2 linked regions of the Schizosaccharomyces pombe genome follow. The protein of the gene in region 2 interacts with the protein of the main gene of each other region in a biochemical or structural test. Each region holds a gene or a part of one and is shown on either strand. Other genes may lie near its edges.

Region 1 (6,516 bases), on a different chromosome or scaffold from region 2:
AAAAGAAAATCGAGACCTTTATTAATTTTCCTGTGGATATGTCAATATTGGACATTTTAAAAACGAGGGTCGTCTTAGCACATAAAATTGTAAATCTCACTAGAAAAGACGGAAGAGTGGGACGTGAGGAAGCTTGGTTAAAATCGATGGCTCAGGAATTGGGAGTTGAAAGTTCTGATGATGAGGATCCGGATTTGCCAAAAAAATCTGAATCTAGTAAGAATAAGAAACAGATAGCGCATCTTCGCTCAGAGCTTGCTCCCTTATTACACGAAAAAATAAGAACAGGATTTTCTGGTAGATACTTGACGAGCGGTCTTGTAAATATGGCTGAAAAATTAGCCAACGAAGAAGTTCATGATAATATTATCGGAATGGACTCAATTAGTGCTTTGGAAGTTCTGCAAAAAAGGAAGAAGTAAAAAAGGGTTTTTACTTAGCTACTTTTCATATAGCACGGGTTTTCATTTAGGTTTTTATACAATGGTTTTTTGGTATTTTATAGTTATGGGTTAATAATAATATTACTGCTAGATAAGTATCAACAAAAACGTCGTATTAGACTATATAAGTGAACGAATTACTATAAGATATATCATTAATTATAGTAGCCTTATGTATCTGGCTTAAACATAAGCGAACGAGGGTGCATTTACACGTTGACTTTACATGCCTCTGGCATCTGTTTGCTTTCACAGGCAAGAGCATTAGAGGTCTAGTTTCTCGTCTCTAAAAAAGCTCAACGTCTAATATAGTTCAACCTGAAGCGGTCTTAGTATTAAAAACCATAAACACTAATTAGGTGGTCATAACGTAAAATGAAGTGAAATAAATAATTTCAAAAAAGTATGCAGCTTTAATAGTCAATCACAATTTTAATTCGTTAAGAATACGACTAGCCAATGTCTTATATTGCCATGAGTTTCCACTAATTCGATGAAAAGAAACGCCACGAAGAGAGAGTATAGGGACTTTCACAATATATATTTCAAAGGCAAGGTTAGAGGCAGGCGACTCACCATTGTCATCTAATGGGACTGTGTCCGGCACCGATCCATAAGAATCAGTGGTAGAATTAGAGCCATAAGAAGGCTTACGTCGTGTATGAACAGAAGTCGATTTTGTAGGGGTTCGGATACCCTGAGGTTTATATAGACATGCATAACCACCCTTGATCTCTTTATACTCAATATCAAGCATGCCCATTACCCGAATAAGATCTCGTTGAATTGACTCAGTACTTTTAGTCGATGTAGTGGAAACACTGAACAAGCCTTTAAGGAAAACAGGCTTTATAGGATCCAATTTATCCGTAGATTTGGATGGGGAAGTAGAGTTCTTGTCCACCGGATTGCCCATCGTTTCATTAAGGATTTGCTTTTGGCGGTTGGTCGTAGAAGTTGACATCCGCCCATGCCCCAAGGAAGCACCACGAGGATTAAGTACACGATTATTACGAACCGACGGAGGTGCATTTGCCATATTGGATGCAGAGGGCCCTGTTGAATCCATGTTTAGTGAATCCATCTGACTGGAGATACCAGCATAGCGGCCCTCACGAACAGAGGTTGATCTTCCAATAGCAGATTGGGTAACAAGTTTATTCTTGTAAGATACTGGGGGCTTGTGAGACGGCTTGGTTCGAGGTGTTGGTGGAGATTGTGAGGTCTCAAGGGGAGCACTAATTTGAAGAGTAGATGTAGAAGACTTATTTTGTTTTCGGCGTGATGAAAACCTTCTAAAAATGCTGGATGGATTCTTTTTGATGGAGGAGGTTGCTGAAGGAGAAGGGGAGTGAGATTCCGTATCAGGCAAAGGCTTTCTGCGTGCAAGTGATGTGTTTCGAGAAACACGAGGTGATTCTTCGTCGCCTTTGTAGGCAACAACTTCCGGCATTGGCGGTAAAGTACGATTATAACTAGTTGGCTGAACTGGCGAAGAAGGAACGCTAGAAACTGGTGTTTTTGCTATCCTATTCCAATTTCCACCTTTTTCATATACACGACGTTCAGAAACTAAATAATAAATTGAAATGAGAGGATGAAACGCATCATAAATATCAGTGTTCATTGAAAGAGATGGTAATATTGGATTCTCGATATCATGCGCAGCATGCCTAATCCGGAATTCAAAGAAAGACTTTTTCTTGTCAGCTGAATTAGGCCCGGAATAAAATCCAGTTTTAGCTAAAGATTGATAAGCTTCACTGCTAATTACCTTAGTTAATTCACGAACAATTTTTTCTGGTGGTCCAAAATCAAAACCGTTCATTTCCCTAATAATTTCAGGATCTAATGGAAGAGTGATCGGAGATCTTTCCGGAGCAAACGAAGCTGGAGGTCCTTCATAATTGCGAATCATCCAAGGATGGTTCAAAACTTCTTCAAGCGTGGCTCGCTTGAGAGGATCAGTAACCAACATTCTTGATAGTAAACCTTTACAATCACTACTTAAATAACTTGGATACTCGACGGTACCTTTTTTTATTTTCGCATGCAAGGCAGACATATTTTGATCATCAAATGGCACTTTTCCGCAAACAAGAACGTAAAGTACTATTCCAAAACTCCAAACGTCTACCTCTGGACCAATGTACGGTTGAGCATTCAAAAGTTCTGGAGCAGCAAAATATAATGAACCACAAAACGTGCGCAAGCGAGACTGACGTCGATACAAATTTGAAAGACCAAAATCGATAATTTTGATGTCACCGGTCTTCGAAATTAAAATATTTTCAATTTTTAGATCTCTGTGCACCACAGAGTTTTGATGCAAATAACTCAGCGCACTTCCAATTTGACGCACAAATTTTCGAGCTTGCTTTTCTTTTAATTTTCCATGTGAAATAATATAATCCAGCATTTGACCACCGTCGACAAATTCAAAGACCATATAATAATGACTATTAGTAATATAAACATCTCTTGCCTCGCAAATATACGGATGACGGAGCAAAGTAGATAAGGCAGCTTCGCGAACAGTACGAATTTCCTTGTTTTTTTCTGATTGTGCTGCCTTAGTAGCCTCAGCAGAAGCAGCAGCTTTTGCCTTCGTTATGTCTGGATGAAGACGGGTAACTATTTTAATGGCAAACTGTTCACCTGTTTTTAAATGATGCGCAACTTTAACTTTCCCCATGCTACCAGCCCCAATGGTTTTACCTAGTACATAATTGCCTATGACTTTTCTTCTTTCACGAGGCTTCTCGTCAGCGCTATAAGAATGCCCAGATACAGGTACTCGCAGGCTATGATCCCGCGTACGAGAAGGAGATGCTGGTAGCGGTTTTCGACTTGATGGAGACCTTACGGGGCCATGATGTGGAGACTGAGAAGAAGGAGAAATATACCCAGGAGAAAAAGATAAACCCAGAGGCTCTACAGCGGATTTTGGTTGTGTAGAATAAGAAGGAGATTGCATAAAAGCATCCACCAGGTTGTGATGACGGTTGGGCGAGTCAGATATTTTAATTTTCGGCAACGCATTTAAAGCGGCAGACTTTGTCTCATTACCGACGGGTACGTTATTGGTACGGTACTCCATCAGGAAATGGGATCAACAGACAAAAAAGCAGATATAAAATTACTGCTTGAACTTTTGAGAGGCAAAAATTAGCAATCAACTCAAAATAAGCCGACTGAGTAATGTAATAAAATAATAACTTTGTGAAAATAATACAAACGTGTAAATCTTGGTTGACAAAAAATACTTTGTTATCGTAAATCGTGGCACCAGTTTCCTTGCGAACCTAAGATGACAAATATTACGAAAAAGCGTGAAATCCGAAAAATTAAAAAGAAAACAATAAAGGGACGAAGAAATTCTTGTACGAGATGAAAACAAATAAGCAAAGCGATCTAGTTACAAGAATGCTCGTGGCTTAGAAACGGATTAGTAGTCAATCAATATTGTTTGTGAAAAGAAGGATGCTCACAAGCCGATAAAGCCGTTTCTACAATCAAAACAAATAAGCAAAGCTTGAAAAGATAACAAATGAGATTATTAGAGCAGCAGGAAGATGGAAGAAGAACAGGTAAACCGGCTTAGCTTTTTCGATGAACAAGATAAACGACCAAAAAATATAGTTGTTTCGATAATTTTCGGTCGTAAAAACTCTTGTTTGAGAAATTCTAGTATAAACAGGTCTCCTGTTTCTTTTATTGAGCAACAGAAAGTCAAACGACTTTGAGATTTTCCCGCAATTTGTTTCCTGTCTAACAACCACTGCAAATCTATGCTACGTCCCCTAAGGCATTCAATATCTCTTCAATTCTTTCCTTTCAATTAAATTATTACAAAAAAAGGAAATGAAGCCAGAAACTGTAAAGGAAGGATTCCCTAACCCAAATGCACTGGCTTTGTTGTTGTACGGAATGGTTAAAGCAGCAGTGGAGATGTCATGGATGAATGCACCATGCTAAAGCATTCATTACGTTTAGTATCGATTTATATAGAGATAAGACTTCAAAATAGCCTACCAGTTACTATTTTCTTAAACTTTTATTTTTTTAATCTATTTCATGTATTTATCGACTTGTATTTTCCTTTCCCACACACCCTTTTAAAAGATCACGACTGCTATATACCGAGGCGCAAGCATGCTCCTTTATGGTTATGAGAAAAACATGGTATCTAAAAATGGATTTAGTATGCAGCAAACGACTCAATTGAAATTGTATACTTAAATCTTTTAAATATATGCGTATTCAAAAATACAATGAATAAATCACCATCACAGTTTCCTCATAAATGAACAAATACGCGTGTGTTTTTACATTATTCATACATCTGAATTATCGTGCCAAGTCAAAACTTTTTAAATTAACGAAATATTAAAGTTACTCTAGAGTTTTGTTTTAAGTATTTTTCATGTCTCTTAAGCTTATGAAATTTATTTCGATGGAACAATCAATTAATTTTCTTAACGACTAAAATTAGTCATCGACCATGACGGTACTCTTAATTCATTGATTGTTTTTTTGTTTTTTTAGTCACAATTTAAAAAAAAACAAAAACTGGTTTCTGTCTCTGATGTGGAGTAGAGAAATGGTCTTTTTTACTACATTTATTGCTTGTTATAATCATTAAATACACTTCGCATTGAAAAGTTGCATTGCACACAAACAATGCTTTCGAGCAATTAAACCAATTCATATACAATTTTACTGCAACATCCATAGTTGCTCAGAAAGCTGCCATGTTTAAATATAGGGAAGTCTAACATTACTCGTTAGGTGACTTTCGAAATATCATCCTTATTTACTACGATTGAGTTGGCGGTTGTTGTCATTTCACATTTACGGAATTTTGTAGATAAACTTTCTGACGGTAACTAATAAACCAAAAATACATCTATTTACTTTGGTTCCCGGTAACTAAAGGATTTAAGGACTGGAGTAATCTTTTTCTATAAGTAATAGAGCAAAAAGTCCCTGGTCTTAACCAAATAATCCTTTCTTTCAATTTCTGTTTCTCTCTCTTTTTTTTGGCATACTTTCACAATATTCATTTATCTATTTTTAAACGAAGTAAAGAAAAATGAAGTTTTGCTCCCTGTTTCATGTATTATCGTTTTGTTGTACATTGGCTTACGCCGTCCCTAAATCTCAGTTTTTGCAACTTCATTCACTAAGTAACGCCATTCCCGTTGAATGGAAATGGTACGGTAGTGTGGATGAAGATTCAGGTTACGTTTACTTAACCAGCAAAGACAGTAATGAAGCACGCTCTGGATCCCTTTGGTCAACTAGCGTTTTACGACAAGTTGGCTGGCAGCTATCGACTTCATTTGTAGCTCATGTATCAGAGAACGAAAACACCTTTTTTGCGATTTGGTATACAAGCGCTGTCGGTTCAGAAGGTCCAGTTTTTGGCGCCTCCGATAAGTGGGACGGCCTTCTGATTTCCCAGGAAATCGATCAAACTGGTAAAATCTTTGTTCGTGGCTATTTGAATGATAAAAGTTTTGAACTTGCTCAGTTTACTGACCCCGATCTTCCGCCCTTTGCTAAATGTACCATTGAGAGCTCTCCTGAGGCTTTGAACAATATTATTCTCAAATACGGTGACCAATCTGGATTAGAGTTATTTGTGAATGACAAGCCCTGCTTTCAAGTAAAAGATGTCATTTTGCCTCAGGGGTATTATTTTGGAGTTTCCTCTCAATCTACGTCTGCAAAAGACTTGGTGGCTTTATCGAACCTCAATATACTTCCTCCAGATACATCTAATAATGAAAATTTGAATCCTACCTCCAATACAAAGCAAAGCGTCGGTGACAATACTAGTCCTCAAACAGTTATTGACACTGAAGGTTTGAACGCAATAAAGGCTGATTTGGCAAAGCTTTTTAATCTAGTAGAATCTCAACGCCAGAAGATGGACTCTTTGCATTTTGCGTTGACTAATGCTTTGGAGCGTTTGAACGATATTTCTTCTACTTCACAGTTCCCAAGTGAAAGATTTAATGCCCTTGAAAAATTGCTACATGATTCTCTATCTGCGCAATCTTCCACT
Region 2 (8,093 bases):
CTTTTAAGCCCTCTCTTAACTGCTAAACTTCCAGCCGTACGTGAATTTTCAAAATAGTCAAATCTGTTTTAAGCCTTTATCTTAGAAGAATAACTAACCAAAGATCAAATAGGCAATATTTATGTATTGGATACCCAGCAGTCTGTTTAATATAGTGCAAGGTTATATTCTAAAAAATCCCGTTGTTCGAAGTAAACTTGGCTTCGCTCCGCTACCATCAATAATAGAAAAGCAACCTTCAGGCTTTACTTTGATTACAAACCCTATTAAATCCTTAAAAGAGTTTTACAAAGGAGTTCGTGACGGTTTTAAAACTCAGTATGAGCAATTGCAGAAGGATGTATCAAGACGAGCTGTTGCTACTACTTCAGCTTCAACCATTCGACCTAATTCTCATTATAAAAAGCTCAAGGAACTTAACCGTAGTAAGAAAAATTCAAAGAAGCAAAGTAACTGATATTTTAATTTTGCTTAAATTTTTTTCATGATATCTACTTCTTTAATTACTCATCAATTTTCATTTTGATATTCATGTTCGTTAAAGTCATATTGTACTGTTTTAGGTTATTATTTGACCGCATTAGTATAAAAACGTTCTTCTGTGTATTGTTGCAAAAAGTGATTTCTACGGTAGTATTAAAATTAATCCCTATATAAATCATATATTCCAATGACATGTACTGCTAAAGTATACGCCTCTTTAATATGGTAATCTGTTGCTCGTTTCATTGTCAAATATCTCCTAGTAGCACGCTCCATCTGCATAGAACCACATCTTCGCTACTTACAATAAATTAAAAACAGAGCAATGTCTTCTCAGTTAAAATCAACTTGGGCGCCAGTTCCTTCAACAAAACCTTCACAGCCTTGTAAAATTGGCACTGATTTTAAAGGTGAAAGGATTGTTTATCCCGTAAGTTTGTCGAATCCGTATGAATTGGTCGATTAAAGAACATTTACTAAATAGTTTTTAGGCTAACAAAGCGATAATAATTCGTGAAATTGAGAAACAGGAAAACTGCTTTCAATATAATGAGCATACTGCTCCTACAACTGTAGCACGATTTAGCCCTTCTGGATATTATGTAGCTTCTGGCGGTACGAATGCTAATTATTGCTATTATTTCTTAAGTTTTTATTTTTAAACGTTACTAATGATCAACTATAGACAATCAAGGTAACGTCCGCATATGGGATTGTGCTGGAGAAGATAAAATTTTAAAGAACCAAGTTACTGCTATTAGCGGACGAATTACTGATTTAGACTGGGGTAAGCCTGTTCAAGTTTCAATATGCTAATTGATGAAAAGACGGAGACAGTCAGAGAATAATAGCTGTTGGTGAGGGTAAAGAGCGGTAAGTGATTTCTATTGTTTTCGAAGGATGTGTTAAATTATTGGATTTACTCATAATTTCAAAAATTCCAATATTTGTTGACTCTTGCTAATCTTACTTTTAACAGATATGGACACGCGTTCACCGCTGACTCTGGTAATTCTGTTGGTGAAGTAAGGGTTTTATTAGTCTCCAACTTCCTTAAAATGTTAACGGTTACAGATTTTTGGACATTCGAGCGTAGTGAATGCTGTTTCTTTGCGCAAGAGTAGACCGTTCCGTGCTGCTACTGCATCTGATGATAATTCCATCAATTTTTTTCACGGTACTCCTTATAGATTCAACCGAAGTTTACGCGTTCACTCCAAATTCGTTTATGATGTCCGTTACTCTCCTAACGATGAAAGATTTGCTTCAGCTGGAGCCGACGGTAAGGTTTATGTTTTCGACGGGAAAACAGGAGATCAGGTCTATGAAATTGATGCTCATAAGGGGTCCATTTTCTCTATTTCTTGGTCTCCAGATTCATCTCAATTTGTCACATCTTCTGCGGGTTACAGTTGCAAAATATGGGATGCTAATACCGGCTCCCTAATTCGCGAATGGCTTTCGTCGGACAAGAAGCAATTAGTTGGAACAGTTTGGCCAACTAAAGACCTAATAATAGTTGTTAACTCAAAGGGAAACTTAACATATCTAAATCCTTCGGACTGTAAGGTAATTGATACAATTTACGGACACCAACGCTCTATCACTGCCGCTACACTTTCACCTGATGCTACCCATTTTTATACTGCCTCATATGATGGTACTGTTCTTTCATGGGATATCGGCAAACAGAAAGCATTCCCTTTGGTTGGTGAAAGTCATACCAATCAAGTCATGCAAATGATAATGGCTGATGACCATGTTATCACCATTGGCATGGATGACACGTTAAGGGTAATCGATATCAAGCAAGGGTGTTTCGCGAAAGATAATGTTTTTCCAACTGGCTACCAACCTATTGGCGTATGCTCGGTTGAAGACTGTTTGATTTTGGTAACGGTTTCGGATATCCAAGTCCTCCGTAGTCTTACTGGTGTTTCTACAGCCAAGACTATTTATCAGCCTAGCGCAGTTGCTTCGCATCCCTTAAAAAGTGAATTTTGCGTTGGAGGGGAGGTATGATACCATATTTTAATTTCCATATAATTATTGACTTTTTTAGGACTGTTGTGTATACATCCATACCCTTGAAAAAGGTGAGCTTTGTGAAGTAGCTCAATGCAAAGATTCAACAGCACCGATTACATGCTTAGCTTACTCTCCGGATGGAAAGTATCTTGCATGTGGTGATGCCTCAGGGAAGGTTGTACTTTATGACGCCAATTCTCGGGAAGTTATTACTTCTCGCTGGGCGTTTCACACTGGCCGTATTCTAGGAATGTCGTGGAATGCAAAATCTACTCATTTAGCGACCGCTTCATTAGACACCAACATTCACATTTATTCAGTAGAACGACCCATGAAATATATTGCGATGAAAAATGCTCACTCATTGGGAGCTACCCAAGTTGAATGGGTTTCTGAAAATGAGCTTTTAAGTACTGGAAGTGATGCTGCAATCAAAGTATGGTCAGTGACCTTTTGAATTCGTAGTACAATTCTCATTTTTTGCAAGATTTTAATAAAAAAATTTTTTTTGTAAGATACTGTTAGCTTTTCTGATGCCATATCTAATAGTTAAAACTTTCTCATTATTATAATCATTAAAATTAAGAAACAAAGGGAATACAGTTAAGCTTGGACATCACGATTCCAATAGTAATAGATATATATTAAAAACATTAAATGAATAATGACTTAGTTGTAAACATCAACCTTCAATATTACACAGAACAGACATTATTTATAGGAAAATTTATAGGATAAAGTCGCAAGATTTGAAATTATTTAAACCGCCTGCCAGGTTGCATAGACTACCCATCTTCCTATCTTTTCAGCCAAAATTAAAGCTCTGTATTCTCCTGTTTCATTAATTGTTAAGGAAAGGCTGAAAAAAATAACGCCATTTCCAGATCGTTCTTCTCTTAAACGCACAATGTTTCCCGTCGGGGTCTGTATTGCTAATCTGGTATTGCTAATGGAGGTAGATGGCTGGCAGGCATAGGCCGAAACATTAAATTTGTATTCAACACCAGAATGCAATGTACCACATTGGGGGGAATTAATATACAAATCAACCGATGGACAATGTGGTACAGGATGACGAGTCACAAACTCTAGAGCTTTATTTTTGCCATGATGTACAAATGGAAGAGACATTGCCATAGGATGAGGTGCAGTCCTCACGGGACTAGAGACTCCTAAGCGACCAGCGTATATCCTTAGCACCGCAGCACGATTATTAGCAGGCATAACAGCTTTAACTCTCATAACACGAATATCCGGAGTTTCCCAGAAAGCCTGTGTTAACGTGTATTTATAACACTGTGAAACATCAGCAGTAGGTGCTAAAGCAGATAGAGCATCAACTTCAGCAACGCATTCAATATCCTTTGGAGCTAAAAATTCGATTTGTAAAACTTCAAGGTCATTTAAATGTAGAATACTGGTATTGAATTTACGCAACTTCAATCCTAAAGTAAAATACACAGACGATACCCAAGGTAATGCCATTACTATAGGCATAGACAAATCTGGCATTATAAACTGCTGGTCCGGATTCTCAGGTACGTGAGTAAATATACACTCGTTTGGTTTCATTAAAAAATAAAAATCATTGGAGCTGCTGGATTTCAAGGCCTGCTGTGGGTGTGTTGGACTGGCAAAACTAGCATCAATTAGACGAACCTCATTGTCAAATGTAACAACATTCCAAGCATGATTTATATTAATATCTCTGGTATAATAGATGTCATCTGGTGATTTAAGATATCCTTCGATAACCTCACACCATAAATCTAGTGCTTGCAACATTTCTTTAACCAACAGTGCAACTTCAAAAGGAGTTCCCTGTCCTTCGGAAATTACTTGTGTACTTGTGCGTAATTCATCATTGTCCAAAGTTTGATTAGTGAACGTAATACGTTCAGAAATATATATAAAGACGGCTCTCATTTGAGCGAGCGCAGTCGTTTGTCCTGGAGCTAAATAATTTTTTGCAAGTACAGCAGGACTGACCTGGACACGTTGTGGAATAATTGACCTTATTTGTTTATCAATAGCACTAAAATTCATGTTATGAATATTAGTACCTACAGAGAACTGCACTGGCTCGCCGTCGGCTAAAACATTCCCAATACATTCACTGAGATCCTTCAATGGTTCATATACCGGCATCGAAAGCTTATTGAAGATTTCTTCCCGTTTCGCCGCAAACTCGGCTTTCGTGTATGTCTTTGTACGTTTCAAATCATCTTTTACTGATTTTAATGTATGAGGCGATGCAGGACGAACACCTTTTTGAGGAACATTGTGCGCCGGATAACTTACCGGAGGAGTTGGTTGGAGACTGGGCTTACGTTTTGACGATCCACGACGCAAAAGCTTTTTGAAAGTTTTTTTTAAAAATCCACCACCTTTTCTAAACGATTGAGCAGTTGAGGGTCGCTCCGTTGTTTGCGGTCTTGGCTTTATAACATTCGACGCGGTGGTCCGAACTTGAGTTAGTGGTATCAATGTTGAAACGGGTCTGGGAATAGGTGCGGGAGCACTCTGAAAACGCCTGTGCTGCGGAAAATAATCAGACGGAGATAAAACTGATGAAGCCATGGAAGGTTTTCTAGAAATATCTCTTGAAGACTTCATAGGTGATTCTCCTGGTTGCAAACTTGTTCTTGGTTTTGACGAATTATCTGTTGAATCATCCAGCTTGGATCGAGAAGTCATACTTGTGGACCCATGTGCAGGAGGGACAGGAATGAAGTCCGTTTCTTTGCTAGTTGTAGTGCTTTTCGTAAGTCTTAAAAGAGGGGAATTCGCTCGACTAAAACTTTTTTTGCCCATTGCATTTAACGATTGAAGAACATTTTCCATAGCACTTCTTAAAGGGGAAGGTGTAGATCTACTTAAATCTTGGGCATCAATCTGAGAGTCGTTATCGGCTGTATTGTCCCATCTGGAAGAGACATCTAAGTTGGTACGAGACATTGAAGATGGCGGTCTAGATACGCTTTTCTTAAGTGACAGACTTGATCCTAGCGAATTGAGCATGGGGTGACTTTTTTGGTGTTTTAGTGAGTCACTCTCTCGGGTTGGTTTATTCAAAGCATTTGAGCTTCCAACGAGATCAGGAGTTAGACCTTGATCAGATGAAGTTATTGGGGTGTCTATAGAGCTTTTTTGAGGAGAAGAATATCTAAAGCTAGAAGCGCTAGTTCTTGACATAGAACTGCCAGGTCGTACCGTGGGAATATCTAAACAGTGAACAAAGTTGCTAGGAAATATCCCTTGTGTATTAGTATTGATATGTCTGCCAATCCACCATTTTCCATCACCTATGCTTAAGCATTCTATTAAATCTCCTTCTGTAAATTTTAAATCACCTGAAAACACATTAATATATATTTTTTAAACTTTACATCAATAATTGCGACGTTACTTAACAGCATCTTTAAATGTTACGAACCTTCACGTTCACCTGGCCATGCATACAGAGCACGTACCATGCATGGTAGTTGTTTAGGAATGGACATTCCTGAAGGCTTAAAGGAATGAAATTATAGTCTTTGGTAGTTAATATAAAAAACGAGCGGAGCGGAAGTTCCGTAACGTGATGTGAGTTGTGTATGAATGTGAAGATAAGATTCTTATTTAAGCGAAGTACACTAATAACTTTGTTTTTTTTTTAGAGCTCAATTAACCGAGTACATCATAATTTTTCTAATAACGCGACTTATATACTTAGCGCACAATTAAAAAATGGAAATATTTTCAATAATACTCGATAAAATGCAGATCGGTAATAAATTCAACCATACTAGAATTTCATTTTAGGAAAATTAAAAAAAGAAAGATATTTGGCTACCATGAAACATTCTTTAACGATAAAGAGTGCGATGTTAGATTCATTTCATGTAGATTATAATTGATTTAGTGAGAAAATTTACTAAAATTGTTAGAAGTCCTAGAAGGGTTCATTTTAACTTGAAATATGTGGTACATTTGCACTTCTGTAATTTTTTTAAAGAGCTTTTTGCACAAGACATAATATTCAAATGATTTGAAACCAGCATCCATATTTATGCGCACTTTAAGCCATATTATTTAGATGAAATAATCTAGGTTTTAATTTACCAAATGTAATTTTCAAAAATTTGCACGATGCTTCAGTCCATATGAGATTCCTCTTTAATAAAGCTAGCAACTTTCGCCAGAGTATTAGATTAATTGTTTACTAGCTTAAAATTTGTTAAAAAACTCTGTCCTATTTTAAAATGATTACTTATAAAATTTATTCTTCTTCCGGAAATTTAATTGAGTTTATTTTATTTTTAATTTCACACTAAATACGTTGAACGGATTTAAGTTGCCTACTTGCGTTGCACACGATGTGGTGGCTTAAGTCGCTTACCCTAGCCGAACCGCTTTCAACTCATCTTGAGCATTTATACTAATACTCTAAAAAGGTTCCTTTTATAAAAGAAGTATAGTTAAGGCTCTTTTTGTTTTCTTTTTAACCCGAAGTTGATGGCACCTACGTTTTTTTTATCCACTCATATATTATTAAATTGAGAATCTACAACTTAAAGAACTGGAATGTGATTTATATGGATGATTTGCTGAACTCTGTTAGTTTTTCGAACGCCTCTAATCCTCATAATGCATGGGGTAGTGAAAATATATCCAACTCGAATTCAGCAATTCCCTCAATTACTAACGATGTCAGTTTTTCAATGGAGGCATCAGTCTGGAAAGAAAATGCTCTCAATCTTGACACATTTAATTTGAAAGATATTAATGAAAAGTTGGATTACACATTTGGCGTTGTCAAGCCTCCTAAACGGATTTCATTGGCATCCAAAGATTATATAGGTATTACAGCTACCTCGGAAACCAATTTTAGACAATTAATCCGCTTAGGATACAATGAGAAAAGTTTAGGAGAACTAAAACAAGGAACCATTAGTCGTTTACTTAAAGAACATATGACTTTATGGAACCAAGAACGGTCTAATGTAAATCGAAAAAGCAATGTGCTTTTTTGTTGGTCAACAGCTTATCAGAAGCAGAAAAGGAAAACAGCAAGCTATACCAATTCACCTGTCACACCGCCCATCAATGACAAAAATATTTTGTTACCGGAACAGTCTCCTTTATCTAATTTTTCTACGACCAAGATTTCCAGTATAAATGTTCCTTCAGATATACTTGATTTTTCTAATTTATCATCGAATGAAATTCCCAAGGATTATTCTTCTTCTACGGCTCTTTTAAATAATACAGTTGCTGTTAAACAGGATCACAAATTATCTGCAAATACTTTCCTTTCTTCCCCAGTCAAATTGATTGAGAGGGAAAGCAACAGTTGTTCTACAATTTCAATAAATAAAGAGGATGAAGTTGTTCCAAAATCACCACTAAGTTTGGATCGTAAAAAAGTTGATGAAGTCGAAGAACATTCATCAATCGCTAAACTTGACTCTGAAGAAAAAATTAGAGAAACGAAGAAAAAAAATTCATCAACGTCTCTTTCCCCGGATCCAACCTCTGATAATTTTGAATGGGGTTCATGGGTCAGTTCCCAAGATACCTCGAAAAACTCATCGAATTTA

Evidence for each region.
Region 1: of the proteins of cyk3 (region 2) and kin1, one has a biochemical effect on the other in vitro, tested with the Schizosaccharomyces pombe proteins (one study listed by BioGRID).

Annotation. Positions count from the first base shown.
Region 1 is NC_003423.3:2,692,195-2,698,710, reverse strand, and holds kin1 (MARK/PAR-1 kinase Kin1), read right to left. Parts: upstream 4,380-6,516; 5' UTR 3,544-4,379; coding exon 868-3,543; 3' UTR 583-867; downstream 1-582. Other genes in the region: ATP-dependent RNA helicase Mak5, read left to right, coding at 1-422; emp46 (lectin family glycoprotein receptor), read left to right, coding at 5,539-6,516. UniProt on the Schizosaccharomyces pombe protein: Has a role in establishing the characteristic rod cell shape. Important for cell polarity and is involved in directing growth to the cell ends.
Region 2 is NC_003424.3:1,976,094-1,984,186, forward strand, and holds cyk3 (cytokinesis protein Cyk3), read right to left. Parts: upstream 6,057-8,093; 5' UTR 6,015-6,056; coding exon 5,948-6,014; exon of another isoform or gene 5,865-5,947; coding exon 3,271-5,864; 3' UTR 2,969-3,270; coding exon of another isoform or gene 2,546-2,968; 3' UTR 2,500-2,545; coding exon of another isoform or gene 1,558-2,499; 3' UTR 1,509-1,557; coding exon of another isoform or gene 1,463-1,508; 3' UTR 1,357-1,462; coding exon of another isoform or gene 1,311-1,356; 3' UTR 1,271-1,310; coding exon of another isoform or gene 1,169-1,270; 3' UTR 1,099-1,168; coding exon of another isoform or gene 975-1,098; 3' UTR 914-974; coding exon of another isoform or gene 809-913; 3' UTR 661-808; downstream 1-660. Other genes in the region: translocase Oxa101, read left to right, coding at 1-36, 113-457; actin cortical patch component Aip1, read left to right, coding at 809-913, 975-1,098, 1,169-1,270, 1,311-1,356, 1,463-1,508, 1,558-2,499, 2,546-2,968; SPOM_SPAC9G1.07 (Schizosaccharomyces specific protein), read left to right, coding at 7,089-8,093. UniProt on the Schizosaccharomyces pombe protein: Involved in cytokinesis.